Neodiprion lecontei: one gene and its partners. The protein of the gene in region 3 purifies or fractionates together with the protein of the main gene of each other region. This does not show direct contact. Links are inferred from orthologs where the notes say so. Each region holds a gene or a part of one and is shown on either strand. Other genes may lie near its edges.

Evidence for each region.
Region 1: the proteins of proteasome subunit beta type-7 (region 3) and proteasome activator complex subunit 4A purify together in Homo sapiens (affinity purification with mass spectrometry; 3 studies listed by BioGRID and IntAct, counting the BioPlex papers as one, with this or other methods). This does not show direct contact. The link is inferred for Neodiprion lecontei from reciprocal best matches to the Homo sapiens genes PSMB7 and PSME4.
Region 2: the proteins of proteasome subunit beta type-7 (region 3) and proteasome activator complex subunit 3 purify together in Homo sapiens (co-immunoprecipitation; 4 studies listed by BioGRID and IntAct, with this or other methods). This does not show direct contact. The link is inferred for Neodiprion lecontei from reciprocal best matches to the Homo sapiens genes PSMB7 and PSME3.

The regions. Positions count from the first base shown.
Region 1 is NC_060263.1:3,116,042-3,127,201, forward strand, and holds the start of proteasome activator complex subunit 4A, read left to right. Parts: upstream 1-5,049; 5' UTR 5,050-5,568; coding exon 5,569-5,807; intron 5,808-5,907; coding exon 5,908-6,048; intron 6,049-6,447; coding exon 6,448-7,018; intron 7,019-7,140; coding exon 7,141-7,289; intron 7,290-7,379; coding exon 7,380-7,699; intron 7,700-7,783; coding exon 7,784-8,783; intron 8,784-8,866; coding exon 8,867-9,137; intron 9,138-9,222; coding exon 9,223-9,606; intron 9,607-9,688; coding exon 9,689-10,255; intron 10,256-10,345; coding exon 10,346-11,160. Other genes in the region: uncharacterized protein LOC107224312, read right to left, coding at 1-33, 109-1,548, 1,625-1,754; uncharacterized protein LOC107224315, read right to left, coding at 2,326-2,554, 2,706-2,829, 2,903-4,339, 4,420-4,549. UniProt on the Homo sapiens protein: Associated component of the proteasome that specifically recognizes acetylated histones and promotes ATP- and ubiquitin-independent degradation of core histones during spermatogenesis and DNA damage response.
Region 2 is NC_060261.1:43,019,488-43,030,075, reverse strand, and holds proteasome activator complex subunit 3, read left to right. Parts: upstream 1-5,805; 5' UTR 5,806-6,004; coding exon 6,005-6,079; intron 6,080-6,168; coding exon 6,169-6,201; intron 6,202-6,348; coding exon 6,349-6,675; intron 6,676-6,884; coding exon 6,885-7,021; intron 7,022-7,104; coding exon 7,105-7,327; 3' UTR 7,328-7,613; downstream 7,614-10,588. Other genes in the region: transmembrane channel-like protein 5, read right to left, coding at 190-536, 626-759, 847-1,532, 1,659-2,049, 2,220-2,368, 2,610-2,694, 2,764-2,915, 3,228-3,562 and 2 more; uncharacterized protein LOC124293036, read left to right, coding at 8,775-8,822, 8,976-9,228, 9,307-9,538, 9,626-9,800, 9,910-10,068, 10,207-10,368. UniProt on the Homo sapiens protein: Subunit of the 11S REG-gamma (also called PA28-gamma) proteasome regulator, a doughnut-shaped homoheptamer which associates with the proteasome. 11S REG-gamma activates the trypsin-like catalytic subunit of the proteasome but inhibits the chymotrypsin-like and postglutamyl-preferring (PGPH) subunits.
Region 3 is NC_060264.1:22,143,171-22,154,330, reverse strand, and holds proteasome subunit beta type-7, read right to left. Parts: upstream 6,681-11,160; 5' UTR 6,585-6,680; coding exon 6,523-6,584; intron 5,991-6,522; coding exon 5,811-5,990; intron 5,737-5,810; coding exon 5,421-5,736; intron 4,614-5,420; coding exon 4,338-4,613; 3' UTR 4,211-4,337; downstream 1-4,210. Other genes in the region: villin-1, read left to right, coding at 1-312, 996-1,755, 2,214-2,400, 2,494-2,742, 3,413-3,709, 3,777-4,138; dTTP/UTP pyrophosphatase, read left to right, coding at 7,241-7,330, 7,935-8,176, 8,431-8,577, 8,711-8,843; uncharacterized protein LOC107221434, read right to left, coding at 11,158-11,160. UniProt on the Homo sapiens protein: Component of the 20S core proteasome complex involved in the proteolytic degradation of most intracellular proteins. This complex plays numerous essential roles within the cell by associating with different regulatory particles.

The DNA of each region.
Region 1 (11,160 bases), on a different chromosome or scaffold from region 3:
GTGGGTGTCCATCTTTCACCATTATAACGTGATCTGAAACGAAAATTAAATTTATTGATATATTCACAGCTTTGGAATATTTTCTAGAGAGAAGGATTATGCTCTTACCAATATAATGCCCGAGCCTAGTCCTCAGGTTAGATGTAACAAATTGCGAACCACCCATAGCTTGTTCTAAAGCAGGTAACAGAGAGGAATTTTTGACGGATGCTGTATTGTAACATATGGCAGTTTCAAGTAGACGTTCAGGTGGAGATTTTCCGACTGGGGTAGAACAGAGTGTCTGTATACTTTGATATAATAGTAAGAAATTCCAACTAGTCTGCGTTTCATTTTTCAACATTTCTGTCGACAGAAAATTTTCGCTGAATATTTCTTTTATTACTCGTGGATTATAGCAATCGAGTACCGCCATACTAACGGCGAAATCCAAAAGTAAGGCCGATGATGTAAACTGATCCTTGTCGACAATCTTTGATATGATCTCTTGCATAGTCTCCCAGAAGATTGGTTTGTAATCGGCGGTAGCCAGGGCTATAACCAAAACTCGGATGTTAATTTCGCTACATTTACTCAAAACAACAGGGTTTTGATAGCATTCAGCAGCGACATAATCGATTAATCGTATTTGTGTGTGGCCTATATTGGACAATACTTTCAGTATGGTAACTCCTTTTTCAAATTCAATATTTCTGGCAATGCAAGCTCTTGCACAAGCGTCTACAAGCTCCTCATTATAAAAAGTCTTATTCTCAAAGAATACCATCTGTTTATACATTTTGCCAAGAATAAGTTCGATATCATGAATACTAACAAAGTTCATGTAACGTATGAGAATTTGTTGTACATTTCGAACTACTTCTTCGTATCCAGGTGGAAGATACTGCAGATCGCACATATATTTGAATATTTTACTTGCGTATGAAACCTTCATGTCCTGTCCTATTTTCCGTATCGAATCTACAACATTTGCTATCAGTTCATGATGACCAGATTTATTGCGTAAGAATACAAGCGCGGACATCAACTTGCCAATATTCTCTTTATCTAACATATTATTCTGCAGTTGAATTTCACATAATGCTGGCACCGCAATTTTAAGAGCATCTGACAACGGACTGCTCTTGAAATGTTCCAATTGGTATTCAAGTTCCAACAGACGACGAAAGGACAGATTGTTCAGGGATTGTCTGATTACTTGAAGAAGAGATTGAGATATCAAACTGGTATTTGAAACGCCAAGGTACGTAAGGGTCTTCAAAATGTACACAGCTTCGTTTCCGTCCAGGGAATTGATATCGTTTAACAGAACTTTACAAAGCTCAAGAAATTCCGCCTTCTCTACAATTGTCAAATCAGCATTGCTCTTCTGCCTGTGCATAGTATCCAATATCTTGAAAGCTGCCAACGAGTGTTCAATCTTCAACAGCGGACGATATGTGGTAACAATTTCAAATATTTCATCCTTTGTTCGCACCGTGGCTAAGGCCTGTAAAACCACATCGCTTTCGCTGCCTCTAATCGACGGCTCGCGGTTCGATCTGTAATCTGATAATGTAAGTAATAAATTTTATTCCCCAGAAGCCGGTATTGATCAACAACGGAGTGAACAATCAAACTGTACCTTTTGAGTATGAAGCGTAAGAGAACGAAGTATTCGGGGTGTAAAAAAACCTGGTTGTATTTGGTAACGAGATTCTAAGATTACCGGCAGTTACACAAACCCGAAATATCAGTCTTGCAATTTTGTTCATGATTTGTACCGTCGATTACGATTATCAACACTTACATCCGTATAAAAGCCGCGGCGTTTGGTGCTGATGAAAATTTATAGGTTAGAATTCGCTTGATATATAATTTCGGTACTAACGTAACTGTTTATAAAATTAAATGTTACTTAGATAATAGTAACGACGCAAAGCAAGCAATAACGGCACGTAGTCCAACAATTTCCTCTTACTTATCACCAGAAATACATGAAAAAAATAAGCCGCATTGTGTGTGCGGAAAATCAGCTGTTTTGATGAGTGGTTTGGTTAAGTTACGAAATTACCCGACAACGTTGGCAGCACTGTCGCTAATTTAGTGACTTTGTTTATCTCACGCTGAATCCGCTGGATGCGCTGGATCACTGATCGCTGGATCGATAGCGATGATTTAAACAAACTGATCTCTACGCGTTGAATAGTTATTGTTGTAGAGGACAAGGAGGCTGAATTCCAGAAAGACGTTAAATTTCTGGTAATTATATCGCAGGTTTATTACTATTGCTGTTTTCTTTTCTTCTCATACAACAGTTAACAATTTAATTAATCTTTACACTACTTATGATACATTTGCAGCCTCCGATAGATAGTCACACTTTAGGCGAATAGCTTGCATGAGATGCGGAATTTTTTCGTGCTCCTTGAGATCATTCCATATCGCTAAATTTATCGAAATAACCGCGTGTCCAGTTTGTTTTTCTAAAGTTCTCAATAGCAATGTCCAAGAGCCTTTCAGGCATTGAGAATTATTTGTGTACGCCCTGGCAGGCAATGCTTTCACTATAACGCTGAAATCATCAATTTATGTATTAATCATTTACAGTAAATGATGATTAATTTTACTTAGTTTCACATGACTTTCACAAATGTGTAAGGTCACTTTCAAAATGGTTACTGTTTCTGAGCATTTGAGTACAAAAAAAAAAATTAAATTCTTACACTTGGCTTTCAGAAGGCAGTGGAAGTTCTTCTATGTACGTTATGGGCTTGCATTCATTCGTTTCTTCAGGCGGTAAATTCAGCGCAACAGCGTATCCACCTTTTCTCATTATAACGATATGATCTGAAATGAGAATTGACTGAATTGGAACGTTTTTGGGTTTATAAATGTGTTAAAATGACAATTGCTGTCTTACCAATATAATGCCCAAGTTTGGTCTTCAAGTTACATATAACATACTGCGAGCCACCCATGGCTTTCTCTAAAGCTGGTAATAGAGAAGAATTTTTGTTCGTGGCTTCGTTGGCTTTTATTGCATCTTCGAGAATACGTCTAGGTGGAGACTTCTTAACTGGGATTAAACAAAGGGTCTGAACACTTTGATACAATAGTAATACATTCCAGTGCGTCCTATATTTGTTTCTCGAGAGTTCAGATTCAAGGAAATTTTCACTGAATAGTTTATCTATCATATTTGGTTCAAAGCAATCAAACACTGCTAAGTTGACGGCAAACTCTAGAAGTTTTGTTGATTCAACTTGATCTCTGTGTACGATCTCCAATATGGTTGGTTGCATACTTTTCCAAAACATCGGTTTATAGTTGAAAGAAGCCAGGGATATCACAAAACACATGACAATTTTTTTGCTACATTTAAGCAAAACCCCTGGGTTTTGAAAATATTCAGCTATGAGATAATCCATCAATGGTACGTGCATGTGGCCTAAATAGCACAATTGATTCAATATCTTAACACCTTTTGAAAATTCCATATTTCCAGCAATCGCTGCATTTCCACAAGCGTCTAGAAGTTCTTCATTATAAAATTTCATATTTGGCCTAATAACTATAGCCTTATACATCCTGTTCAATATATTTACAATTTTGACGTACGAAAGTTGTTTCATGTTATCTGTAAAAACTTGCTGCACGTTTTGCACTACTTCTTGATAATTACGTGGTAAATATTTCAAATTGGATAAAGTCTTGAATATTTCCGTCGCTTGTGATACAGTCATGTTTTGTCCTTGCTTGCATATCGAATCTATGATAAATTGCATTATTTTACGATCGGTAATGGAGTTTTTGTGCATGACATTTAACGCAACTGTTAAATCCTGCACATCGTTCGTATTTAGCATTTTATTTTTTATTCTAGTTTCCAAAATTATTGGCACTGCGATCTTGAGCGCTTCTGATAAAGGACTGCTTTCAAAATTACCCAACTGAGTATCAAATTCGAAAAGGCGTTGAAAAGATATGGTATTTAAAAATTTTTTGATGTGCTCGGTTAGAGACTGTGAGATAAAACTGCTCGATGGAACGTTGAAATATCGTAAAACTCTTAACACGAGTACAGCATCGTCTCCACTCAACGATTTTACATCATTCGATAGAACCTTGCAGAGCTCATGGATGTCCATCTTTGGTATTAGCGAAGTATCTACCGTGGCGTTCTGTCTGTGGATAGTATCGAATATCTTGAAAGCTTTTAGTGAATGCTCAAACTTTAACGACGAGCTATACGTCTTGATTATTTCTAATAACTCGGCCTTTGTTCGTGCCATCGATAAAGCCTGGAGAATAACGTCGTTATCCTCACTTTTAATCACCGGCCAGGTATACCTGTGATCTGAAATCAGAAGGTTTAACTTTCGTCTCCTGGTCACAGAAATTTTTAAGGAATGTTAGAAATCATACAGTTGTAAGTACCTTTTAAATCCGAAGCGAGACAAAGCGACGAATTTTGGGTGTACAGTGCCCGTGCTGCACTTGACGCAGAGTTTCTGAGGTTACCGACAGTGACACAAAGTCGAAATATGAGTCTCGCATTTTTATTCATAATTTATATCATCTATAATGACGATCAAGAGTTACCTCGATGTAAAATACGAAACACTTTAATATTAGTGACCGAACTCGAGAGGTTAGAATCAGTCACATGTATGTTCGTATTACCAACGAGACCGTACATTGGAGTAAATAATAACTGAAAAAGAGTGGAATCGTAACGAAACTAATAACGGCACGATAGTTAAAAATCGCTCGTCACTTCTCATTGCAAATAATTAAAGACAATAAGCCGCATTCTGTGTATGAGATATCAGCTGTTATTCAACTCGGATCCATGTTGAATGCAACACATCCACAAACCACGTTATATTCTTAGTATTCTTACACCGTGCACAAACTCATTCATAAACGTCATGCGCAGAGCCAATTGAGAAAAGAGTTAGATGGAGTTAGACACATGATAGATCAATATTATGTTTTTTCATCATGAGTCGTCCAACTGTCATCTGTTATTATTTGCCCATATGCCACTGTCATTTAAGTACAGGTGAAGTGACAGAAATTGAGTTTGTTTTCGTTAACAAAATTGAAAATTGTCGCCATTGTACGAAAAAATGGAATATTTGAACAGGTATAATTAGGGTGTTTATCGTTTTGACAGATAGAATTATTTTTCGCTCGAGAAAAAATATGTGAACCATTCTGCTCTGATCCCCCTCTCTATAAGTTTCCTTGTTCGTGTTAATGAATACACGTGGCGGGCTCGGTGGGGAGTCAAGCAGTGTCTCAGTTCACATAATAATGCTAGTCAGCAAAGCGGCTGAATAAGCTTTCTGCTATACAAAAGATGACTCGGGTAAAATGAGGAGTAGGAAATAAGCAAGTTGTTACATACTGACGGAATGACGCGTGATTCCGCGTAGCCGTTGTTAGTGCCTTACAGTCGATCAACGAGGATAAGTATATTTGTTGATCAACTATCACGCGTAGTATAAAAAACGCGACCATAAGAAGAAGTCAAAAAAAAGAGAGAAAGGAAAAACAACAATAATATACATACCTTGAACAATGGACGAGGACACAATGGACAATGATTTTGGGGACGAGTTAACCATCGACTCGTCCACTGGAAGTTTGGGGTTTCAACCTCAGAAAGAGATATTTTGCAACAAACTTTTACCTTATGCTAATATCATCGATACCGAAGCCCAAAGTCGGTTTTCAGAGATCAAAGCCAATCTTGGGCGAGCGATATTGTTGCGAGAGGTTCGATTTGGCTGTAGCCTCTGGACCGCGAGATTATGCAAGTAAGACAATTTAATGTACCTCGCATCTCCCTGACGCAGGCTAATTTTTACCCAATAATGAATTTGAGTCCAATTTGATTAAACTGCTTCTTTTATTAAGGTACATCAAGATCTATGGGATGAAGTTTTCCAAGGAAGATCATATTCTCCTAGTAAAACTGATGTACGAGTTGATAACCATCCCTAACTTGGAGCCTCATAAGGTTGCTGAATTTGGAGCAACGCTGATAATATTGCTGAAGTATGCCTAAATTATCGTTATGACGAAGGACAGTTCATAATTTTTGGTCTATTATCGTCGAATCGTATAATTTTTTTATTTCTGTCCTGCAAAAAATGTCAGTAGTTGGAAATTATACGATAATTTGCGCGACAAGTAACAGTCATTCTGACTTACACCAAATTGAAAACTTTGTAGCTATATAGCCTTGTATAGGCTAATTGAAAAAAAAAGACAATATGCTACCTGCTATAACGGTAAACTGTTGAAACAATCTGTGCCAACTCCGCAAAAGCATCAGAGCTAGAGCCAATTGCCAAGCCGATAGCAAAGTCGCCAAACATAATCATGTCATGTTGTAACGTATGTTATTGGCTCAGTTTAGGTAACAGAAATTTTGTTCAATTCTGACTCGTTTAGAAAGAAGGAATTAATCTCTCCAGAGGAGTTGGAGCTGCCGTGGAAACCGCTTTATGACTTGACATATCGCATCATGGCCACAGGAGAAACGGCCCTTGGGATGTACCGGTATTTTTCATCCATCGAATCAACCCTTGATGTTCTGGTTCATGCTGCCAAAGTCTACTTCCCTGTGACAGCGACCCAAGAAATACTGGACAAACTTAGACCGTGCCTCTATCCTCTCGATTCTTCTATGATGGCAACGACGATGGAAACCTTGGAATGGTTTTTGCCACTGAAGTTACCGCCAAAGTATCACTCGATAGGGCATCAGTTGTGGTTTGAAGAGTTCATGAGCCTGTGGGAAGTTTGTCACAATGCGCCAACCTGGGAATACGAAATAATGTGGCTTATGTCCAGGCTTGCTACTAGCAATATCGGATACATTGATTGGGAGCCATACGTTCCCCTCATGTTTACAAGATTTATTCGCTACTTGAACTTGCCAGTCACATACAAGCACATGCAAAGCAGTAAACATCACAAAATGGATACATCGTCCATCGCTATATGGATCGTCTCAGTGCTGGTTAGTCTCTCTAATTTACATACATTTTTAATTTCTGTGTTCAATACAATCAATGAGCATAAAAAATTTAACTATACATTTTTATTGATTGAAACTGACGAAATCACTGATTGTTTCTTCAGGGTCACAGATCATGCGCGCAAGACTATTTAACTAAGTTTTTGAAAACAATAGAGAGCTATATTCACCCCGCTAATTATGGCCAATGGCACTCGAAGTTGCGGGAATTGCTCAGTAAACTTCCTCTGCATTTCATCTTACGCCTCCACAGGTAAGAGCACTGCACATTTTGAATATCTTGGCAGCATTATGAAATACTGTGTCATAACAATGATTTTAATGATGAAAATGATCTGTTCAGGGAACGCTATGGCAAGCAGACATGGGAAGAACCTGTACCTGAACCATTCAAGCTTACCGACGAAGATGTTGATCGATTTGTTTTGAGTATAAAACCGCTTGCTATGACAGCAATGTTTGGAAAAATGGGTGGTATTGACGCCGGTCAGGCTCTACAATATTTGGCTACCATGCGGCCTAAGTTAATCATTCCAGATGTCCTAGAGCGGTTGTACTCTGTACTGGATTCACTCACGGAACCACACAAATTAACGGCATCCATGAACTGTGTTGTGGCAGTAGCTCGGCCGCTAGTTCAAGGCTTGAGAAATTACAACACAGGTAAATAACCATACTCTTCTGATACGATCGAAAAGTTCGAAAATTTCTGATGTTAACAACTTCCACTTTATTTTTTGTCCACAGGTTACGAATATGGAGAGGGGCCATCCCAAGTTTTACCTCTCCTGTTCTCAACTCTGCCTGGTATAGATCCTAACGACGCGAGAAAATCATTTCTCACATTTCGATTGATATCTGTATTCGCCGGGATAATTCCGATAGTGGATTCGTCAAGAGTGCCAGACCCTATCAGTGAAGAGGATAGATTGATCTGCGAGTCAACATCGCGTTTTGAAGATTTTGTTCTTCAGTTTTTAGACAAAGTCTTCAGCCTGATAGATTCGAGCTCTCTAGAATTTGTGAGGCTTGAGAGTCATGGCGGGGATGGAAAGAGCAAGCTTGAATCATTGTTTGAAAATGCCTTAGCTGGCGGCTGTACTGGTCTTCTTGGCCAAACTAGCGATGCTATTTTTGATTGTGCCTTACGAAAACTTCGTTCCCTTGCTACCGAACGTATTTTAGAAACTCAGGTTGCCGGCCGACTGGCAGCCGTTCTTTGCCGCTCATTTTCTCGTGGTAATGGACAGCAAACGCTGCGGGTACTTCTTCCACCTCTGGTTAGGAACATATTGGATGCAGTCGGACAAAGCGACGATATTGCCAAGGAGGAAAATTTAGATAATCAGCTTTTGTACAGTATGCAACTACTTGCCGAAACTCTTGATACGAGGGGAAACTATCTACTACCTTACATCGACGTACTGATCGAAGTTCTTGACAAGACGTTATACTTGAAATCCAGGGAAGGAAATCAGACCGCTTCTCGACTTTTGAAGATACTTCTTCTGTCTTTGTCGACGGTTACACCTGTTGATTTTAAGTCGTCTGTTGGGGATTACAATGATCCTGAATATATGTCAATTAAGGACTGGGGACAGGCGGTAGATAACAAAGATCTCAATGTCAAATGGTATGTACCTGGAGTAGATGAAGTGGCAGCAATTAAAAAAATTTTTTCAAAGTATCTACCGCCTGTTCTGGAGAAGATAAAGCGTTTTACTGGAGATAAAAACACATTAACCAGGTAAGCCAAAACATTCCTAATCCATATTTGTATCGACAGTTTTGTAATGTGAGCAAAGAATAATTGTGGAAATAAAATTGCAGAGAGGAGCTTTTGACAAATCTCAATATAATGAGTGCTATTCTCATCGGCTGTGAGGCATTTTTGCCAGTTTGGTCCGAACCTCACATTGAACCGGTGGAATCAGCCTTAGAGTGGACTTCTTTTACACCAGAACTCGGAATTCAAGGGGAACTGTTGATGCCAGATGGAAGTAACGTCAGGCGGCATATAGTGAATATCATGCGCGATTTGCAATCCAATATATTGAGGGATGGTGAAGACGATATAAAAAGTTTATTCGTTGTGATTGAGGTAATTATGGAAGTAAAATTCTGAAACTGATGAAAAACTGACTCTGGACTGTTGCTAAAGGACAGTTTACTCTAAACTTTTTTAGATCTGGGGTTCTCTGCTGTTGGGGAGAATGCGAATAGGCGAAGATCACGAAGTGAGGCGAAAGAATTTCATGATTGGTAAAAAAGTAATAGAGGATAAACTGAAAGGGAAGCAAAGGCACATGAGAACATTGATGGTGCAACGTGCGGCGATGCAGCACGAAATTCGTATATTGGAAAGCGTGGTCTGTCTCACAGAAACGCACAAGTCCATTATGTTGGAACTATTCATATTGGGAACCAGTAGGTATGGAGAAGTCCGATCAAGGGCGCAGAGTCGACTATTTACCGCCTTGCAATATTTTCCGTGCTCATATGAGTTGATTGTTCCCGAGATAGTGAAAATATTGGGCAAAGACAGCGAAGAACATCATGAAGCATTCAAAGTAAGGCACTCTCCGGACTTACGAATAATCGTTCAACTTTCCTAAACATCTTTTTCTAACGAAATACATGTTTTTCTTCTAGGGAGTCTTATACATTTTGTTAGGTCCAAAGCAAGCTCCGATAATCACAAAACGAAATTGGATATTATTGAATACACTTTGGCCAGCGTTGGTTTTATCTAAACCTTCTGAAAAATTGTCTGTAATTCGTTTGAAAGAAAAGTTAGCGGACACGGTACGCAAGCTTTTTCCAACAATTTCTATAGAAATTGAAATACCATCAAGATGTATCGAGGCAGCAAAATTATTATGGGATAACTATCCTAAACCCAGTTTACTACAGCCGACCGAAATTGAAATCGAAAAGGGAGTGGAGAGCTTAAAGAATTTAGGAAAAATAAATGTAGAATATTACAATAGTCTGTTGGACAAATTACTTAAAGCTATTATCGAACAAAGTCTCCATTGGAGGCACAGGCTGATGGCGATCAGTCTTATAAGGGACTTGGTTCATCCCGATCAGATATATCCTGCGAAAATAGTGCGCTTCTTTCTCAGCTCATTGATACACGAGTCTTTGGAGGAGAGAAAAATAGCCATCAAAGCCATGCTTTTCATTTTCAAACAACAGAAGAGAAAACATCCAAAGGTATTTTGAAGTGATTAATTTTTTGGCAACAAAATTAACAGTTTTTACCAAGTATAATCGAAATAAGTAAATAAAAATGATGATTTTTAGGTAACGATAGATCGTTCCAGGTTCGAGAATCAAGGTGAGTGTCAAAAATTGAGCCCTGGGAAAAGGCCTGACAATGCTTGGCTTCAGTACAATTACGAAACCCGTCCTCTGACCTCTGAGCAGTGGGAAGAGCAGAGGTTCATGCACCGTGCATGGGTAGGATATTACACATGGCCAAAAGAGGTTAAAGTCTACGCTCCATCTTCTCAGCAGCCATCGTTAGACCCAAATATAAGAGTATTAACTGATGAGGAAAAGGAGATAGACATTTTCTTCAACGATCCGTCAAATATCTCAAAACTCATAGGATATTTTAGTTTGGAAGAAAGAAAGGGGAAAGACAAGTTCGACGGTTACCGTTTTGTCCTTTTCAAAGGCTTGTTCAGAAACCATGGGGATGTGCATCTTAAGCACTTTCTACCTCACCTGAAAAGGTTGGTAGCGGAGAAACAAGAGAGCAGCCAGCGATGTGCCGCAGAGATAGTTGCAGGTCTTATACGAGGCGCGAAGCACTGGACATTCCCAATGACAAAAAAAATGTGGGAAGACTTACTGCCTATTGTCAGAACAGCGCTCAGTAATTTGACCGTTGAAACTGTCACCGATTGGGGAATCTGCTTTGCCACTGCGCAGGAGAGTAGAGATCCTAATAGGCAACACTGGCTGTTGGAGTGTCTCATGGAAGAACCGCCACTGGGTGAATCTGAGGCATCATTCGTTGAGTGCGGAAGGTTGTACGCTTTGCAAGGGGCACTGAGCCAGCAGTCCTGGCGAGTTTCAGAGTTACAGAATCGCCTGCTCGTTCGTTTGGAGGA
Region 2 (10,588 bases), on a different chromosome or scaffold from region 3:
ACAGCTACTCAATCCATAGCAGTCTCAAGAATACATTTAAAAAAAAAAACACCAATAGTTAGTAATCTTAACAGCACTGTCCATACCATTAGATTTTTGCGATATAGCAAAAGACAAATACAAATTTCAATACTTAACTAAATTATCCATACTTGTCTAATAGACAAGCCTATACTGTAATCTTGTTGACTAAAAGAAGTCGTATTGACGAGCGATCCCTTCGTTTGCATCCCGACTTTTTATAGAATCATGAATACTACTAGCGTCCGAAACCGTGCTTGGCCTTTGAGTCAATTCCAAGTACTGATCATTTCTATTACCAATACTTTCGCGAAAGGCATCAGAAGACAATGATTTGTGCAATGCATTATTTGATTCCTGATAATTTATCGAGGATATACTTGATTTTCGGGCATGATAGTTCAGTTTACTATAACGACGGTGACGAGCTGGAGTCCCCCCGACATGCTCCTGCTGAGGATTGGTTAGCAAACTAGGTCGTGGTGTTAGTAGCGGATTCAGGTGATACAACCATTCTATGAAAAGTAAAATTTTTGAATTAGAGACTATGCCTGTATTGAAGTATAGTGCAGTGTTCGGAAAGGTAAGTACTCGGGATACTAACGTTCCTCTGTCACTCTAGATATTCCATTTAGAAGGAATTCCTTGTCCTGAGCTTCCAAGACCAACATGCCTCGTAAAATTTCAACCATTTCTTTTCTGGCACAAGCCTTGGCACGCAAATAATAAACAGCAACGCTGAAATTTGTTGCACCAGCATTATTTTCCAATATCTTAATGGTAGATAGTCGAAGGTTCCTTATTATTAAAGTTCTAACTACTTACCACATTGCAATTAGTATTGCAGCACCGATACCAGGTTTTGCTAATCCTGTAACAACCACCCAGAATTGACTGTCATTTCTTAGCTGCAGTACGCCCAAAACAACCATTTGCCAAGTGTACTCGTAATCTTGAAACGGGCCACAATCCTGAGATTTTATATTCGTCACAATGTATCCAAGAACTGTGAGTACACCAACCATTGACAGAAATGCTAGTGCCAAAAAAAGAGTCTGCGTTTGCGCAGCTCTCCAGGATCGCGATGGTGGTTCACAGTGATTCAAGACTCCGTATTTCTTGATATAAAAAATCAAGATCAATTTTGCAAGAATAACGAATGACATTGGTGGACTAAAGTAGAAAGCTATCCAGAACAGTGTCTGATTGTAAGTCAGATTCAAGGTGTTTCGAGCTATGTCAAATCTTGGTGCCCCAATTTTCTTCCATCCCAATATGTAAATCTTTGATCTTATCATTTGAGCCATGAATATCAGGACTATAGATATTATGAAGTCAATAATAATTAGCCGATATATTTCCTGAGTAAATGCAGTCTGCCAGCAATTTTCGGTTGAATGAGAGAGCCAAAAGGCTAGAAGCACTCCAACAATCACAACTTCCATAATATAGGTTCTTATCATTGTTACGTAGAGAGTTGTGCGTTTACTCGCATAGCCTTCGTATTGAGCCTACAAGTAATAATAACAACAATGATTAATGGAACAAACGTCAACAACTCATAAATGAACGCCATCAATTTCCACTTTCAGCTTACAAAGTATGCATGCCTATGTATTATTACATTGAATACTAACCAGCCATGAGAAAAACGCTGGATATAGGTTCATGACAGTCGTAATAGATAATGGTACAAGCAAAGTAAAGACGGTTTGACTGTAGTCCACTGTGTACTGGGTCAATAATTTCCATAGTAATACTCCAGTGCTGGACATAATAGTAATTACTAATACCGTCACAGCTACTTGAATTAACAGCACATAAGTTTTGATGACACAGCCTTTGTGTGATTGTTTCTGGGCTTCTCCCAATAACTCCTTTAATTCTCCATAAATGGTAGCAGACCGTAAGTTTGCTGCTTTGTAAGAAGCGATGCCGAAGTCCCAACCACAAAATATTTTGCTGGCGTACAGATTAGTCAAGCCACCGGCAGTTTCAATAAAATTCTTACGATATGAACGTGCAACTCTAGAACAAGAAGTATTTGGATTTACCAACTTTGATTAATAAAATATTAATAAGGTGCCAGCAACGTTTACTTGTTTTTGCTCCTCGCTTGAGTTGCATGAAATGTAAACATGAATAAACAATTCGATAAATGATAAGACGATTAACACCGTAAATAAATGCATACTAACTTGATTGAAAGAAGAAGAAAAGTGAAAATATAACAACATAACAACGTCATAAAATACGCTGATGGAATGCTGTATGTCAGGTAAGATCCTTTTGAGACTGTTCCATTTGAATAAAATCCGTAATACATTATCGAATCCGTAAAAAAGCCCTATAACGTGAAATTACTTGCATTATTAATTAACCAAAATTTTTTCGTCCAATGGAACTGGTTGTTGGCATCCATCTCTATTTCATTGTCATACTGAGGTTCATTTTTCAGTTATTAAAATTACCGTTAAAAGTAACAACTAAAGATATAATTGATTTAGTCAAGAAAGCTGGATTATTTTCCTTACACCTGATCTTTCAAGTTTTCAATAACTCTTATTACTCTTAGTCAGCAGACTTACAGTTCCTGTTAAAAGATCCCATCCACTGAATGCCGTATCTGAATACGCTTCCAACAAAGACTGTGGTAGGACGATGAATCCCAAACTAAAAGTATAAATCATGTTAAATCAAACTACACGTGTGTACGATTCATATAGTTGAAGATACTAGTACCTCAAGACACAGCATATGGTGTTTGAAATGAATAACCAGCGCAGAAATTTGAAGTAAGTAGCTACCCCGCTACCAAAATGACCCTCGATTGCTTTGATCGAATGATACCACAGCTCCATAGTCGATGCGACCTCACGCATTGCCATACCAATCTGCATTCAAAAGTATTTTTAGGCGCTAGTATGTCTAATGAGTTGTTATGTATGAGTGACAGTGCCTCTTGTACTGAGAAATGATGGTAGAATGTGTGGTTAATTTTGAAATTAGACTATCTCTAGCTAAAAAGTTGAGGCCTCACAAATCCTGACATTGAAATAAATCATTCTTTAAAACAGTTGGACATAGTTTACATAAAACTGTGTAACTTAGAAATCGGCAGAGCTTAAAAATATTCATTTTTAAAGTACAAAATCCTCTGGACTTAGTTTAAACAGCATGAAAAAATTCTGCATTCCAATTGTCACCTTGGTAAAACTCATACTGATTTTGTATTTCAGTCGCTTCCAAAAGCTGATCGGTTTCCTTTTCTTCTTATTTTCGCTGACCGATGTCGTAAGCCTAGCCTTAATTGTCCTTTTCACAGTAAGACACTGTGGCATGTCTCGCAGTTTCTCTATTCTAAGAAGTTCTGATATAGGATCATCGTGCATTAGTTCGTCGTCCAACTCCATGCGGCTCGCTATGTTCATTGCACGATCTTCTGTTGGTGAGACAGGTTCTCGATGAGCTCTCATGGTAGCATACAGAAGCGCGTTTGTCCGTCCGTGCCGTTCATGTTTTGTCTCCTCATTCAAACCGACTGAAATAATTGAAATGTTTGAAAAAACACAGGACAAAAGTATCTCGTTAGATACTCTTCTTTCATTGATAAATAAACATAGAGACTCAATAATAATATTCACCTAAAGTTCTGGACGGCATATATCGAGCATGCTGTGCATGTTTCCGTTGTACTGATGGACGCCTCATTGTTAATCCCCAATGTTTTTCCACATTTGATACATCTAATTCGCTGGATGTATTTGCTATAACAATACATCGAGACTTCAGTATGATCTTTTGAAAATGTATCGACAAGTGTTAATGAATATGATGAAGCAAGAGAAAGGTTCTATAGAATACCTTACACAATGCTATTTTTGCATTTTAACAGTACACCAAACGGATTCATTGAGTAGGACTTAAAAAATGGTTGTCTATGAAGTACGATGAATACGCCTAGTAAGATATTGATGAACACTTACGAGGTATCCCTCCAACATCATTAGGTGGATGATCATCTTTTGAGGTACCTGGTTCGTTCGTCATCCTTAATTCAATTAAATCAATTCTCAATAACTAACGCGCTGTTATTTCCTGTTGCTAATACGTGAATAGATCGTTATCATAGGAAATGTATTATCTTATCAACACGTATCCGTTCGACTAATGTCAAGTACATGCCGTCGGCCGTGAGACTTGAGTCAATAATTTGAGATTGTTTATCTTTGAGAGTTTATTCCACCAGTGATTCGGTTACTCAGCTTCAAAGTATGCATTTGTTTATCATTCCTCGCACGTCTCAATTCTCATCTGTCACAATTCGAGGCTTTTAAATCGAATCTAATAATCGAGTTGCTGAGTCTCTTCGATTTTACAGGCGCGATTATACAAGAAAGGCGAATATTCAAAAATACACCGGATCAACGTTGTATCAAATCGTTGAGTCATTTTATCTTACCTTACTCGATTTTAATCAAGTGAAATATTTTTACGACAGCGTATGCTGCAACGTATTGATTTAAAAATTAGAAATGCTTAAATAATGTACACAAAGCTACGTCTTTCAAGGATTAGTGATGTCCGTGCATTATACAATTTTTTTTTAATCATAGTTAAAAACGACTGATTTCATGTACAACTCTATAGCGTGGATCGCTACATATTTACAAACGTTTCCACATTAATGTGTTAAACTATGTATACTGTTTTGTATTAATAAAGACACAGTTGCGCGTTTTGGTTGCAGCGTTTCGTGAAATCGAAGATGAGTCAACTGACTTGCGGAATATCAAGATCAGATCGAGGTTCATCGTGTGAATGGAGAATACATAAAGTGCTTGGAATGATTTTAGTACCATTGGAATACGCCCAATCATTGAATTTTGGCCAATTTTCAGTGAATAAATGTGAATATAAATGCGATTGTTGTTTACTGAAGACACTGATATAGTTAGTTGGTTTTTGATTTGACTAGAGCGTTCCAAAACTCATTGACAACTTCCTGTTGGAAGCAGAGACCACTTATAGGTTTGAAGTTGCACGTTTCAACGAGGAAAAGAGTGTGGTTATATTTTATAAGTTATATTTTTTACTAAGTGATATAATGGCTGATTCAACGTTGCAGAAGGTAATTTCTTTGTTAACAACACCTAAGACATCCGTCTAACCCTTCCTGCGCAAAATTTTAGTCCCAAGAGTTCTCAGAAAGGTGAAATATAACTGGTTTTTAACTAGTGCCAACATCGACCGGTAGGGTTACAGGTTACAGGCTCGGCTTAGTATTGTTTTGTGTTTCACGATGGCACCAACAAATGTGGTAATTGTCAAACTTTCCTTACCCATTATCGATCATAGTACACGATCCTAAATTTTGTAAAATCCTTATTCACTATTCACTTTCTACAATGCCGCTTAAACATCACCGTTCTACTGTGCTATTAACCTAACCTAACCTTAAATCGTGCACATTGCGCCGTACGTACGATATAAATTGGAAAGTTTAGTCCGCATACTTGCCTATTGCGGAAATTTTTCACGTTTTTTTTACAAATATGTAGATTATTATTGTTACATTTACAAGTCGAACCTGCGTTTCAGTTGACAAAACTTTTAACACTTCCTTGTGATTATGACGCGTATATTTTTCAGCCATGACCTGCCGTCATAAAGCGTCGCTGCCTTATAAAAAATAGTCTGTCGTTAGAAATTTTCTTCATGTATCACACAAGCTGCAAGGTATAATTTTGTCTACATGTCCTTCGAATGATATCATACTTACCTGCAGATATTAGATATTGATAAAAGTGAATTTTAACGAATTCATTTGTTTGACGACAAAAATTTCTCAATAACCTGCCAAAATTCGTAAGTCATGTCACCGCTAATAAAAAATGACAAATTAATTAAACATATACCGTATTCAGGCGTAGAAGTAGCGTAAAAAATTTAACAACGTAAAAATCACTTAAAATTACCAGAAATGTTGCCGTTATTTTTTCGCCCTGTTCCAAGCAATGAATCAAAAGGTTCGAAAGATGCTTTTACTGAAACTGAGGTATTTGAGAATAAGTTGAGTAGAACATGCATGAAAGTGAATCTGCAACTGAATTTATACAAAATGTTAATTATTAATTCTCCTTGCAGGTCCAGGAATACAAAGATTCGCTTAAAACGAAGGTAATCAATATCCACTTAAGTCGAAACAGCAGTTAATGAACCTTGCAATTTGAATCGAAAGTTTAACAGCAGTACCGAATCTATTTCGAACGCTACACTGATCCCCTAACCATTTGCTATTAAAATGTTTTTTCATACAAACATCAGGCGGAACAATTGATCATAAAAGGCTTTCCTGAGAAGATAATGAAGCTTAATGAGCTTTTGGAAACACCGAGCTTCTGCAACCGTGAACTTTCCGATGTACATCAGGATTTGAATGTCCCTATCCCAGATCCAATTTCGCTTAATCATTCCGACGATGGACCAGCAACAAAAAAACTGAAGCTGGAGAACAATTTGAACGATATTGAGGCCAGCGGTACCAAAGTTATGGTTCTCCCCAGCGGACCCGTACCATGTAACAAACCACTCTGTGAACTGATTCGTATTGCCAAGCCATACATCAGGCAACTTGTCGAGGATTCCAACCTTGTAAGTATATTGTTGAGGAAAAGGTTATAAAACCGCGAAAAATTGAAAAAAACAACTCCTGAGATAATTGAGAAGAACATAGCATATTGATTAAAAAATCTATGTCTTATGTAATGCTAGTTTCCCCATATATGTTAATCATTTATTATCTCGGTCGAGAAATGTCGCTCCGTTTTGTTAATTTATTTTCCTTCACATTGTTTCTACAGCTGAAAATGTGGATTTCGTTTATGATTCCAAAAATTGAAGATGGAAACAATTTTGGTGTCTCAATCCAGGAAGACACTTTAGCTGAAATCCAATCAGTTGAAAGCGAAGCTGCAGCATTCTTTGATCAAATTTCGAGGTAAGAAATGTTGCGCATGTCTTGTAAAACACGGCATAATTGAAAATGATGACATATAACAATAATGAAATGCTTTTTTCTAGGTACTTCATATCAAGAGGTAAAATTGTAAGTAAAGTAGCCAAATATCCACACATCATTGACTACAGGCGCTCGGTTCAAGAATTGGACGAAAAGGAATACCTCAGCTTATGGCTGGTGATGTGTGAAGTTCGTAACCGTTACTGTTCGTTACACGACATAGTTATAAAAAATCTTGAGAAGATAAAGCGGCCTCGATCGACAAACGCTGAATCCTTGTATTAAGGAAAAATCAACATCGCCCTCACATATGAGTGCAAACTTTATTCTAATTTAAACCTCAGAGAGTATGATGTGGTAAAAAATGATGAACGATAAAATTAAGAAATCTTGCTTTTCGATGAAATCAGAATTACGTTACAAACATCTTACCACTACCACCAGTACTTGAACCCTTTCATTATTGTAATGTGTTCTAAATCTAAAAAAAAAAAACAAAAAAAAAACTGTTTTCGCCATGTATGGGTTGTAGGATCTGAACATGTTTTAATTTGAACTAGGTTCCATCCACTGCATAGATAAGTATATGTATAAACACACTTTTGCTTATTTGCTTGCTTTTAAGTAAATAATTTCTGTTTATTGCGAAATCTATCTCCTTTTTTCTTCAATTATCAAAAAGGTTATCATATATCGTTTAACTTATCGTCCCTGTGGGGTTTGATATGAAATTCGATATTTATGCTTCCTGCATGTATGTACATGCGATCAGCAATTGAGAATCGGCAAATTAATTTTCTCGAGTGATTAGTAAATCATGATCATCGACTTAATTTATAAGAATTTGAGATTAATTAGACTCTAAAAAATAGACAGACTCCATTGAATAGTAATTATAAAATTACGACCCAAATCATCATTATCAATCTTACTAAACCCAGAAAGAAAACTTCTTCAGCACTGGAAAATATATCTATAATGCAAAGTATCTTAACTTGAAGTACGTAATTTTTTACAACATACCCAAAAGACATGATATTTGTATTTATTAATATAGGTGTGCTCTTAATGAAGATTTGGCAATTGAAGAAGAACTGGAGAAGGTTTACAGAGTGAACATTTCTTTGATGTTCACATTGGTATATTTCTTGAAAATTTACGGTTCAGAAGTATTTTATTTATTTGCAACAAGAATTCAACTGTGTCAAAAGTAATGAAAGTACTTACAGGGCGTAGAATAATTTGTGCCCTCTACTTTCATCTGATACTTTTTACCATCAGTATTGAGTCTACGATTTTTTTTATTCTGTCAGAAATCACACAGCAAAAATATACCTAAATTTCTTTCTTTCGTTATGTCGGTATGTATAACGATCATAGATCTGGAAGGTGTTGTGATTGGTTTCGTAATGGCTGATTATATGGCTCTAAATATAATATACATATAGCATACGTATAACTTTTGATTTAACCTTGTATTTTGAAACGTGAAACGAATAAATGAAAATAGAATAATGTAACAATACACGCGGTGCTTGTAGCTATAGTATTATAAACATCCGATTTCACAAACTCAAAGAGGACAATTTTTGTTTTGGTTTTGTTTGAAGAGAAATTTTTCATACAAAATTGAGCTGTCACAGAACAAACATCGAATTTCAGCAAAAAAATAGAAAAACATTGTTTTATGAATAAAAAAAAGGAAATTTTTAATTCAGTAGAAACCGATATAATGGATTACGAAATTGAGGCATCGTATCTAGACCGACTGCAGCGCGAGGTAAGTGATTCGCAGTCTTCATTACAAAATAGTTTGTCAAAATGAAATTGTGAATTTGAAAATCTTTCCAATCAAAATTTTTAATGTTCTTCTGAATATAAATTCGGCAGAATGCGACAGCGTCTTTTTTGAAGAAAAGTATTTTTCCTGTAGGCTCTTACGTGTTTAAATGGATTTCCTAACAAAGTTAAAGCCTTAAATGATATCATTGATGCTTATGTACCGGAAGTTGACGTTAAAAGAAATCCGGAAAACAGAGAACCCCAAATACGTGTGCCTTGCATTCCGACTAATAAATACGTTCCGAATGAAACCAGTTTGGAGAATGACCATGTGAATTGTAAGAAAAAAAAAGATATACGTACATTTTTAATTATCGCAAGTACGGATAATCTTGTTAACTATTGATTCGTCTAATATTCACATATCTTGTTCAACCTTTCGGTACACAATCGTGTTTAACTATGTAATGATAAACCAGCAGATGCATTATGCTCCGAATCAAACTCAAGCCGACCTATTCAACGTCATGGATTATCAAAGAGAAATCATCACCGTTCGCGAAGATCAGATCAAATAAATTTTCGACGTCGTCCAGGACCTCTGGCACGTATCCTGGCTTTTCTATCAAACAGTCTTGCGGCTTGTACAAAAAATACAGTAATCAGGCCGACTCAATACATCGCAAATCATGCTCTCACCATGCTAAAGGATTAGTAAGACGCGGTATTTTGTCGAACTGCGAATTTTACACCCTGAATAACCGAAGTTATATCTTCTTAATCGCATATCTATTCACATAGCTTAATACAGCGCGGAGATATTATGAGCGCTAAATGTGGCGCTTCGATAATTTGGTCGCTACCGGAAAGTAGAGCGTCGATGAAATTAATGCAGACTGATCTCGGTTCGACGCTCGACAATTGCATGAGAATAATGAGACCAGCCGTGGCTCAGCTTATCGCGGATACAACAAAAGTATTTCAATAGCTTTTATACAGTTTTTATGAAATCTAAGATTGGAATCTCAATTCTTGCGAGTTGTGCAACATTATGTTCTATGTATAATATACCTATAATGTTACAGTTGAAACGCTGGCTACAAGCGCTTGCTTTGAATTTCACGCCTCCGACGCCTACTTTGATCCATGCTATACGAAAAACCGAAGCCATTGACGGCTGGGCTTACGAGCTTTTCTTCCATTTGAAGTATCTTCAGGAAAATCAGATCCATAATGTCGAAAAGGTATGTGAATCTGTCATTTCATTTTCTTCTGCTTTCATAATTTGTCGCATAATATTGTTAATTACTATGTAAAGATAGGTTTTCAGTTCGCATGAGTAGATTGATACCTAATTGAGATTTGACCAAATTATTTTTAAGAATGCTGTCCCGGGATTGAAAATTAGTGACAAGTTGAGAAACGTGAATCTTTGTCATCGGCTGGTGCGGTTACGAGATAATTATGTCTACCTCTATGAAAGTTTATTCAGCAATAGTCAATTTTACAAGTTATCCAGAGATTCCAAAAAAATATTGGAGTGACTATCCGCAGTAGGCTTGAGTTATACCCATTTACGGTGTACCTATAGTCAAAGCATTTACGCATGTCCGTCAGTATCAAAATCGCTTGGCTTCTATGTTATTTGCATTAGTTTGTGTACGATGTACTGTGAGTGGTCATGTCGAACCATTGTTAATAAAATATATGCACTGGATGTGAAGTCGATGTCTCTATTTACATTCATAATGCATATACTCATGT
Region 3 (11,160 bases):
CGTCCATTTCTGGATCGGAGAAGCTTGCGAGACGACTGTTGCCGGAGGTGCAGCGCTGAGGGCGGCGGAGCTTGATGCTCAAGTTTCGGCGACGATTCTTCATCGGGAAGCAGAGGGTCGAGAAAGTCCGAGGTTCCTTGCCTACTTCAGGGACAAACTTGTCGTGGAAAGGAACCGACCCGAGGGTCTGACGACATGTTGCAGCCTCCACCGAGTCACGGGAGTAACGATGCCAATTATTACCGAACTTGAGGAAGTCGCTTGGGATCATTTTTCGTCCTGCGATGTTATTCTTTTGGATTTTCACTCAAGGTAACTATCACGGAAGTCTGGAGATGAAAACATAGTCCGGTACTGTATGGGAAATCTTTTGAGTCCCAGTGTAAAATCGGTCAGCACCGTTTAAAATTATACCTTTTCGGAACGTCGAAGAATCATTGGAGTCATTCGAAATTTGCTGAGTTCTTTTGAAATCGTGTGAAGTCATTTGTAGGAAACGTGAAAGACCGGTAAAGTTGCTTGGAATCTGATAAATCTTTTCAGAAAAGTGCCACGACCGTAGTTAAGAACTGAGAAAGAAAAATTGAAACCACGTGTAACGGCATGAAGACCTTATAAATTCGTTGAACTCTGTTACAATTCGTTGAAATCCTATAATCTATAACGTATCACGACCCGGTAAAAATTATATCAAATATTCTGACGTCTCTGATATATTTTGGAGTTGGTTAGAATGTGTTGATGTATTTTGAAAATTCTTTTGATACCATTTGCATCCATGTGGTATCTTCTACTATCTCTGAATTCACAAAGGGATCATATTATACAGATTTTTTGGAATCGCTATGATAACTAAGCTGTTAATAAAATTCTTCTGAAGGGTATTAAAATCGTTTGAGCTTTCGATCCAAATACCTATACGATTCCTTCATTTTTTGGGTGATGAAAAAATTGACCTAACCACGCATGTCTTTTCGAATTTTATCCATCCGAAGAGGGGTGATCTTCCTCTGGATCGGATCATCGGCTCTTCCGCTGCACAAAAAGCACGCGGCAAAGATAGCCGAGCTTCGGAAGGAGAACAACAATGGTCGAGTGGTGATGGTGGACGATGGTTACGAGCAGACAATGGGGCGGGAGGACAGAGCTTTATTCGACAGCGCGCTGTCTCCGGATACGAGGGTTGTGATGCCGGGACGAATGGGGTCTACAGGTTCGCCGAGTCCGATAAAGTTGTACAAGTGTACAGAGCAGTCGGGTAAGTACAAAGTCGCGGAGCTGAAGTCGGGCCCGATTTTCCGTGCCGATTTGTCCCCGGAATCGGTCTTCCTTATCGACCGAGGCGAGGCAGGGGTTTGGGCCTGGGTCGGGCGGGAAGTCAACGCGAGGGAGAAGCTCGAAGCCGTCAGAAACGCCCGCGGATTTGTCAAGAAGAAGGGATACTCTTCGGCTACGCCGGTCGCTCGAGCCGTTGACGGACACGAACCGTCGGAGATGAAATCTCTTCTCCGAGGATGGGACTCTGAGAAGAAGAGGGCCCTTATTTTGCCCTCCCATTTTGAGCCCGACTACATGGCAGAGCGGCCCAGGATGGCCGCCGACTGCCAACTCGTCGACGACGGGTCTGGCGATAGGACTTTTTGGAAGGTCGCAAAGAGCGATACGGCCTCGATTCGTGACGCAGGAATTTACTACGCTGAGGCCTGTTACGTCATGCAGTACAGATACGGCATCGGAAGGAAGAGTCGAGTCGTAGTAAGTTATCCTTCTCTTTTCCTCCGTGTATCCAGCTTCCATTGTTACACAATGACTTTTACGTATGTTCTGTAAAGTTTGTACCGTAAGGGCCTGTTCTGAGTATTCTCAATCATTTTTCGTCATGATATTCCACACTGAACGACACTTGGTTTTCACTGAATTCTCATCACATCTTGCAATTTTCTTGTATGGAAATATGCATTTCACTCAATTCAAGTCATTAATGTTCTTCTGAGTCAGTCTCACATGAGTTTCGACTAATTCCGGAAAATGACCAAGTTCCACAGACTCTGAGACCTCAATTAGGTCCCTTAAAAGATCCCAAAAGGCATTTCAGCCGGATTTCAAGTATCCTTTTCAATTCCGAACGGAAATTCTTTTCAGTCTGTGACAATTTCTCCAAAACACACCAATAGAAGCTTTTGAATGATTCTAAATCCGATCGTCATTTGCAGGTTTATTGTTGGAAGGGTGCGCATTCGTCCAGCGTCGACAGAGAGGCTGCCCTGGAATTCGCGTGTAAATTAATTGAAGAGTCTTGCGGTCAGTTGGTGGTAGCATCTCAGGGACGAGAGCCGTCTCACCTGCTGCAAATATACGGTGGAAGATTGACCATTCTGTCCGGTCAGCACAGGGACAAACGTACACTGAACATTCTGATTAATTGTACCTCGTCAAGATCCAGAAATCAAATATTTGGAGGATGAATAATTAGCTTTTCCACGATTTTCACAGCCCCGAAAAAGTACCTCGTCAGGGTGCTTGGATCGACTCCGTACACCTCGAAGGCCGTCGAGCGACCACTTAGGTCCAGCAGTCTCGACTCCAGCGGGGTTTTCATCCTCTTTTCAGAATCTCCTGTCGTCTGGTGCGGGGGGAGAAGCACCGGAGACTTAAGAGAAGCTTCGAGACGTTTGGCGTCCAGCACAACTCCGCTGATAGCCGAGGGAAAGGAAGACGACGGATTTTGGACGCAGCTTGGAGGTAAAGAGACTTTTTGTCGCGGTGCTTGGGTAGAGACCCTACCGAGACTATTCGAGATCGGTGGAAATCGGCTTGAGCTAGTTTAGTGACAGATTTTATTTAAAGGGTTACCATAAACTGTGAGCGTCGAGACATGCCAACTTTCAAAAATTAATTTCGAAAAGACTGCTGATGCGATATTAATCATTTTTTCATGTCAACTCATGTATGTGTTAAGACAGAGCGTTGTTTCCTTTTCGGTGAAGAGAAAAAAAATCCTGAATTTTTTTTGATATTTTTTATTATTTTATTATGTTATTAATAATTACTCAAAAAAAAAAATGATGACGGTAAAATCGTACATCAGCCGGAAAGTACTATTCCTTTGAACATACGTACCAATTTCAAGTCGATTTATCATTACAGATCGCGATATCGTGTACATCGTTTTGAAAAAGATAGTTTCGAGAAAACACGTTTAAAGTTAGAGCACTTATATACTGAGTGAAAAAATTACCTCATGCCAAATGCTGTGTCTCAAAAAATATTTTGAATATCGACGTACAATTTATTGCATATCAATCTTAACCATTCGACCTATTTTTAAAATACAATAAAAAGTTGTTCATTTTGCTAAATTTCGTAGAATGACCCCGTAAAAAAAAATTTGGACAATTCGCATAACTTTCAGGACGAAGTGTCTACTCAACCGAAACCGTGGACGTCGTTGAGGAGTGTGAAAAACGACTTTACCACTGTCAGGTGGAGGCCGCAGCTTTCGTAGGTCAGGAAATCCTGGGATTTGGACAAGCCGCGTTGCTGCCCGAGGCGGCATGGCTCTTGGACACCGGAAACACGATATGGGTATGGCTGGGCGATTGGTCGACGGTAAAAACGGTCAAGGATTGCGTCGAAATGGCGACGGTATTTCTATACACACACCCAGCTAGTCGGGACCGGAACACGACCATCACGGTGATCCGGCAAGGTGGGGAAAAGACACAGGAACGGGCTCGAAAGTCAAATCTTACGGTGAATTTGAACCATTTTTGCAGGTTTCGAGCCACCAACGTTCATCGGCCTCTTCGAGAATTGGAATCACAACTCGCTTAGGGATTACCAGAGCTTCAACGCTCTGAGAAATTCACTTTTGGACAAGCAGATGGCGGGGCCAACTAGCGGTAACGAAGCCGAGGAAAAAGAGGCGACGTCGAGTTTCGACAACTTGGTCAAATATCCACTGAAAATGCTGAGGAATGAACCGGAAAATTTGCCAGCCGGCGTAAACGTAGAACGAAAAGAGATGCACTTGACACATGACGATTTTTTAGCGGTCTTCAAAATCCAACCGTCGGAATTCGAGAAATTACCCGCGTGGCGGAGGCAGAGACTGAAACAGGCGGCCGGCCTGTTTTAAAACCTCACGAATCAGCACTCGAGAATATTTTTTTAATGTGTTTTGTCGACGTTCAAAGGTTATAGGCCAGAGTCAGAGTATGATTGAAATTTATTTCCAGATATTTAATACAAAAACGGAACAAAACTAACGATTATTCCTTGTGTATTTAATTTTAAATGGTTTCTTCACGTTCTTTATTCTCCCATCGTCCTTCCGTTCACGACGACGTGTCCATAGACTCCTGCTCGATCCTGCGGATCACCGTCTTCTCGATTATCACAGGGCGCACAACCTTGCTTAGCACAGCCGTCGTACCCTGCTTGTAGCGGTACGATCCCTGCTTCTGCCCCTTCTTGTTGGCCACGTCAAAAGGCCGGATATAGTCAACCGAACCCTTTCGGATCACGCAGACGTCTACGTTCGATCCTGATCCCAAATCGTTGAAGATACCGGCCCTGATTGCATCCGCAACGAGATTTTTACCCTCTTCCTCCTGGTGAATATCAAGGCAATAGAAATCAGAAACAGTAGAAGCACCCTAAAGTTCTGATATCGATGTTCGAAATAATGGTATTTTGAATCACTGCAGGGGATTCTGGGCCGCAAAATTTCGTCATTCTAATTGGCTGACCATGCACTTAAAAAAGTGACGCGATCACCCCGAAGGTTTTAGAAGTCTCACAAGCATACCCTGACCTCAGAATTGCAAAATTCTGAGCGGTAGGTCCAGTTGAAATTAGAATCGTATTCAAAGACGTTCAGAATAGCGTTTAGAATAATAGTCCAACATATTAGATGCACGGTTTTCAATTAAAAGACTTTTTGAGATTCAGGAGGTCGAATGCACACCTTTTTTCAATAGATAAAATCCATTGATAAAAAAAAAAAAATTAGCCAGTTACACAAATCAAGGCTTTTCTCTACTGAAGATAATACTGTGCAAAACGCTTTATAAATTTCTATAAAAATTCCGACTCTGGAAGACTTCACCATGATGATCGTGTAAATTTCCCGTAGAACTTGTGATTTGCTATAAAATACTAATTTACCGAATTCTCTAAAGTCCAAAATTTCCGAAAAAAATTCACCCAACTTTCAATGCAAGACTCTCATTCATTTCTGAACTTTCTCTGCAAAGTGTGTCAAAATTGGATATTCCTCACGGAAATTCACAGAGCATTTTTACCAACAAGGTTATAAAACAAGTTACATTAAAAATCGTCATTCATAAATAAAAAAAGAATACGGGAATCAACTACGTTGATGAAAAATATGCACAGAGAAACTTGAAGATACCCACTGTAAGGTTCGGCTTCCATTTACTCTCAAACACAGCCATAGCAGCAAGAGATCCAGATCCCATTGTGCAATATGGTAGTTTGTCGGTTGACCCATGGGGATATATGCAATGGAGATGGGGTCCCATCAGGTCAACACCGCCGAGGACAAGCGCAGCCCCAATGTGTCCTTGGTGACGGAACAGTAGTTGCTTCAGCATCATGTTGGCTGTTGCGACAGGTACGACACGACCAGTGTTGAGGCGATGTAGCTCCAGCTGACTCGCGATCATCTGCGTCGTCATTTCGGTGTCAGCTGCTGTTCCGGCACCACAGCAACTGATTCATGATAAAAGTTTTGTTGAGCGCTTAATCCAAATTGAGTCCAAATCCCTCCTCTTCGTCATACTTACTACATATTTTGAGCCAAGAAGTGAATCTTGCTGCAGTTCTTATCCGATACTATTGTGTCCTCCGTTGCTCTGGTGTCTGCGCCAAGGATGACACCATCCTTGAATACTATACCGACAATTGTCGTTCCAGTCTTCGTTGCCTTTGGAGCTGCATATCCCTTCTGAGCAAGGAACGCATTTCTGTGCAAATGTAACAATCGTTGTAGATCAAATCGGGTCCGTTGTTAATGACTTCGTAGTAATACAAACGTATTGATTTAACGGTGAATCTCCAAATTTTTCCAAACACCTAGTGTTTGGGAAGTTTTGAAGATTTTGGATCGCAGGCCAGAATGAATAATCAGATTATAAATTTATAAATATTTATGTACATATATGTAGAAATAATAGGTATATCATATATACATAAAAGTATGTTCAATTACATGCTAAACATTTACAAACTTATGCATATCTATCCAAAATATATATTTGACATTTATTTTAAAAATACGTCGAGAAAGCGTTTCTTCTAATATTTTTATGGCAAATTATGTTCAGAAAATTGAGGTTAGGTATTGAATTTGTTGCTTTTCGTGACACAGCAACATTGCATTTAGATGAACTACGAAATGCGATTAGTTTGGTACATTCGGGGTTAGATGGGAGGGAATGAGGCTCTGGGATGAATTCTGAACGCTGGGCGTCTGTTTACATATTTGAAGCTTCTCACCTCTGACAGTTATCGAAAGAAAAACCGGGCGCCGGAATGTTGGGGATCAGAAGAGACGACATGATGTATCTTCCTGCTAAAATACTGACAGAATGCACGCACAGTCGCTTTGTGACTGGCAAGTTAACGTGTTTACAACCTCACCAGTCCAATGGAATCAAAGTCCCTACGACAATCGCATCCCGAACAGTTGATTAGCTTCGAGTGGTCTTCGATTATTTCTAGCACTGACACAGTTGGCGCTACTGATAGAGGGAAACTTCAATCTGGATTTTAACGCAAATATTACGTGACAATCAGTGAACGAAACTCAACAAGCGACTGGATTGTTCACATTTCTAATTTCTTCATTTTTATCGTGATTCACTTCAATTTTGTACAGTGTATTAAGAATTAAATCCATGTATTTTTTTTACTAACTCTAATACACGCAATCATTTTCAGCAACTTAGATTTTTTCTGCATTGAAATCAACCATTACGTAGATTAGAATTTGATTGATTGGAGCTCGCAGTTACAGCTTAGCTATCGATTTGAAATTGCAAGGTTGGTACAGCTGGAAAATATGAAAATATACGTATGCCCATGTAAACAGCATGCGCTAGAGGCTAGAGCTGCGTAGATATAACCTAGCAGTGGATTTCAGCATTCGATAAGACAAATCAGACTAAAATCAACATAGTAGACAAATTTTTGTTGGAAAAATTAATTGAACAACATGTTGGAACCAACAAAACAGATTCTACAAGCCGGGCGTATAATTCTAGCCAGCGGCTCTCCAAGGCGGAAAGAAATAATCGAGAATTTGGTAAGTCGCAGAGAATGTAGTTAAGTCCATTGGAATGAGTTATGATCACGCGCACGTCTCAACGCCATGCTGCTACACCGTGATGCGCCCTTATTTCAGCGCTCTCTCGTGGCTTTTTCGTGAACTATTGCAGTTTTAAACAGGGTTTCGAACACGGAGTAGAATACCATGGTTTCGAAGTACGGCAAGATCGTTTAGATTGAGAAGAAGTTGAACAATTTAAAAGGAAGTCTATATCGTTAATCGCATTTTCAAGATCGCAATATAAAATGAGTGGAAAAATTAGCGTACAGTAAAATGCATAAAGGCCGTAACTTACCGCTTAACTTGTTTTTGGGCTGAAATAAAATGCGACTTCGCTTATATACGAATTATGTGACAATGCATCGAATTTTCTTACGTCAGCTGCATCTCCAGTCACTGTCAAGTAATTCGTATAGAATCGAAGTCGCATTTTGTTTCGGACCGAAAACAAGCTCACCCGAAAGTTAAAACATTAATGCAATTTACTGTACATAATTTGAAATTCGACACGAGTGTTGTAGGTAGTTATTTTTAAAAATTTTCAATTGAAACAGCAAATCCTTTCTTCAATTATTTCAAGGGCTTAAAACCAGAGGTCGTTCCTTCGACGTACGATGAAAATTTAGACAGAGCAAAGTACAAATCGCACGGTGACTATGTCAAAGATTTAGCCTATTTCAAAGTGATCGAAGTTTACGACAGACTCAAGGGCGATGAGGTGCAACCTAAACTCGTTATCGGCGCCGACACAATCGTCACCATGGGCGACGTTATCTATGGGAAACCAACGGATTCAAATGACGCAATTAAAATACTGTCGATGTAAGGCTGATACGGTGCTAAGTACGCATACGTACGAATGACAAAAAAATGAGTTCTCTGAATTTACGTTCATTGTATTTTCCAAACCCGCTGACAACTGTTTGCAAAAAGTTTTGTCTCGTGGAATTTTTCATTTCTCATCTAATTAGAACATCGTGAAAGTTGATTTCAAAAAGTTGAAAAAAATCTCCACTAATTATAATGTAACCACAACTCTTATCGATATTATTATTCTCATAATTAATTGATTTTAGTCTGGCTGGAAAAACGCACACCGTTTACACGGGTGTTTGTTTAAAAACAGACAAGGACGAGGTGAAATTTTACGAAAAGACTGATGTAACATTTGGCGATATTACGCAGGCCCAAATCGAAGCGTACGTCAAGACCGGGGAACCCTTGTAATTATATTTTCATGAATAAGTAACTTGCTTAAATCTTTATTATTTATTGGACCTTTGCTCCATGATTGTATGATTCGATAATCCATCGATCGATGTTGCATCTTCCTCATTAGCTATGTATGTGGTACAGGGACAAGGCTGGTGGATATGGGATTCAAGGATTCGGTGGCTGTCTTGTTGAGAAGATAAACGGGGATTTCTTTACCGTGATGGGGCTTCCCGTTTACATGCTGACGAAGATTTTAAACCGACTTTACAACTGATATTATTCGTATGTATATAGGCACTAGAGACAGAGAGAGCGAGAGAATAAATAAACTTTTTTAAAAGCGTCAATACTTTTTACTCCTATACTTGAAAAAAATATAAGTATGTGATATAATGATAATAATATCATTTCATTTATTATTATTTATTATTATCTCCTTTTTTTTGTCCCGTTATTCGATCATTTGAGCGACCCATCCACTTTCAATATACACGTATAATAGTACGTGTACGTGACAAAAAAAAAATTGGCTTATCCGCAATCCGAGACTTGATACGTAAGTCACTTGAGTACTGCTTCAATTTTTTAATCGATCGAATGTCTCCACCATTCCTTTTGAAAAAATGAGAGTGAAATTTCAGACTTTCAACAAACGCTCTGCATGAAAAATGCAAAATTTCCAAGCGGTTCATCCCTTTCTTTTTATATTGCAATTCTTCTTCACGAACTAAGAGTTGATCCGAATCATTTGCGGCGAGGGTCATTGATGAGGAAATAATTTGAAAGTTCAATTAACGCAAGAGCGGCTAAAGTGTAATATTTATAACATACATATACGCGATTGCAGATGTATTGAAGATGTGAGATGAGGAAAAATAGTCAGCGCACGCTTAATCGTTTTATTTTGGTCAACTTTTTTTATTGTTCACATGACAGATATAACAAGTATACCACTGTACGTAATCATAAACTATATTACGTATCTTGCGTTCTAAACTGATAATATCGACTGACGAAATGTTCACCAGTTAATGCGAAACAAATTTACAAATCGAAGTCTGACATATTTGGCAACGCGATAATTTGAACAATAGTAAAAAATGAATCGACAAAAACGAAAATAAAGAATGAGAATTCAAATAACCTTATATTGATATGCATATACATGAACTCGTATTGCACAATTATCTCCCAACAATACGGTTATAAATTATTCTTAATGGTAATATCATCATTACGTTTATTACTAAAGAAAAAACTTTATGTATGTATGTATGTACAATATATCTACCTTAGTATTCTCTTTACTTTCTTTGTAATACTGTGCAGCAATAGTTTATTGCTGGTAACTTTTTCCATATACCTACTGCCGTTATGATTTTTTTTTCAAAACTACTTAGCGATCAACATCTATACGATCTAAGTATAATATAAGTATAGTATTAGTATTTAAGTACAAGGAGAAAACATCTGGTTCTCGTGCCGAAACAAAACAGCGTCTATGTAATCAAAAGCTGAAAATAAAGAGACGCTGCTCGTTTGTACAATACATATAATATATTCGATAGAAATAAAAATAAATAGGCAATCAATAAATATATTACTTTACGTATGGTACGATTGATTTCATAAAAAAAAAATAAATAAAAAAAAAATTTCTTCGTTTGTAGTACAAAATTGCTTTTTATCGTGTTGAACTGGTATCTAAGATCGGACGACGGGGTTCTGACACATCTGCAATGGGTTTCATCCAAGAAGACGTATCTACACATACACTTATAAACAAGTGTATGATGCATCTATCAATTTTCTCCGAAGCATGATACGTTGTATCGTAATTACATGCTGTACACTCACGGAAATACCGTTAATTAAATCAATTTTTTATCGAATGTACGATTTCTTATGTTTTCATTTTTTCATATGCATAATCGTCAGCCGATTAGTCGGTAAAAAACCGAGATACAATTGCGACTGAGTGCAGTAATGTAAATTGATTCGTTTTCTTGAATTTACCAAAAGACCGGGTTTATCGTACAGAAGTTCCAAAATCGCCCTTCAAAAATAGTATAATAAATATTCCGTGGTAAATGTTTAAATTGTCGCTGGCTTAAACCGTCGAGATTGACCGAGTTAATTAACTTATCGATGAAATGAAATTCCGCTTTGTGCGGTATTAATGTAAAGAAATTTTGACGAGTGATCAACTCACTCGAAAAAAAAAAAAATAAATAAAAATCATTTCATTATTCGAGGCATGTTTCTGTCGTGCATAAAAAAATTCCGATAAACTACACGCGATTGAGGACGGAATAAAAATTCATTTAAAACTCAAACAATATTAAAAAAAAAAAGTCTCAAACGCCTATCAGAGGGAACTAAACACGCTTTGAGTAAGAAATCGCTATCCTGAAATCTGAGAATCTTTGAACGAGTAATTTTCGCCCCAAAAGTAACTCGTACAACAAGCGCGAGCCGAAACTGTCAAAAGCTCGAACCTTCAGTGGTTTTAATTCTGAAGTGACGACTGAGAGATGCGAGAAATTCTTCACCGATTCGCACCTTTCTTAATATTTCCTAGCTTCCGATTA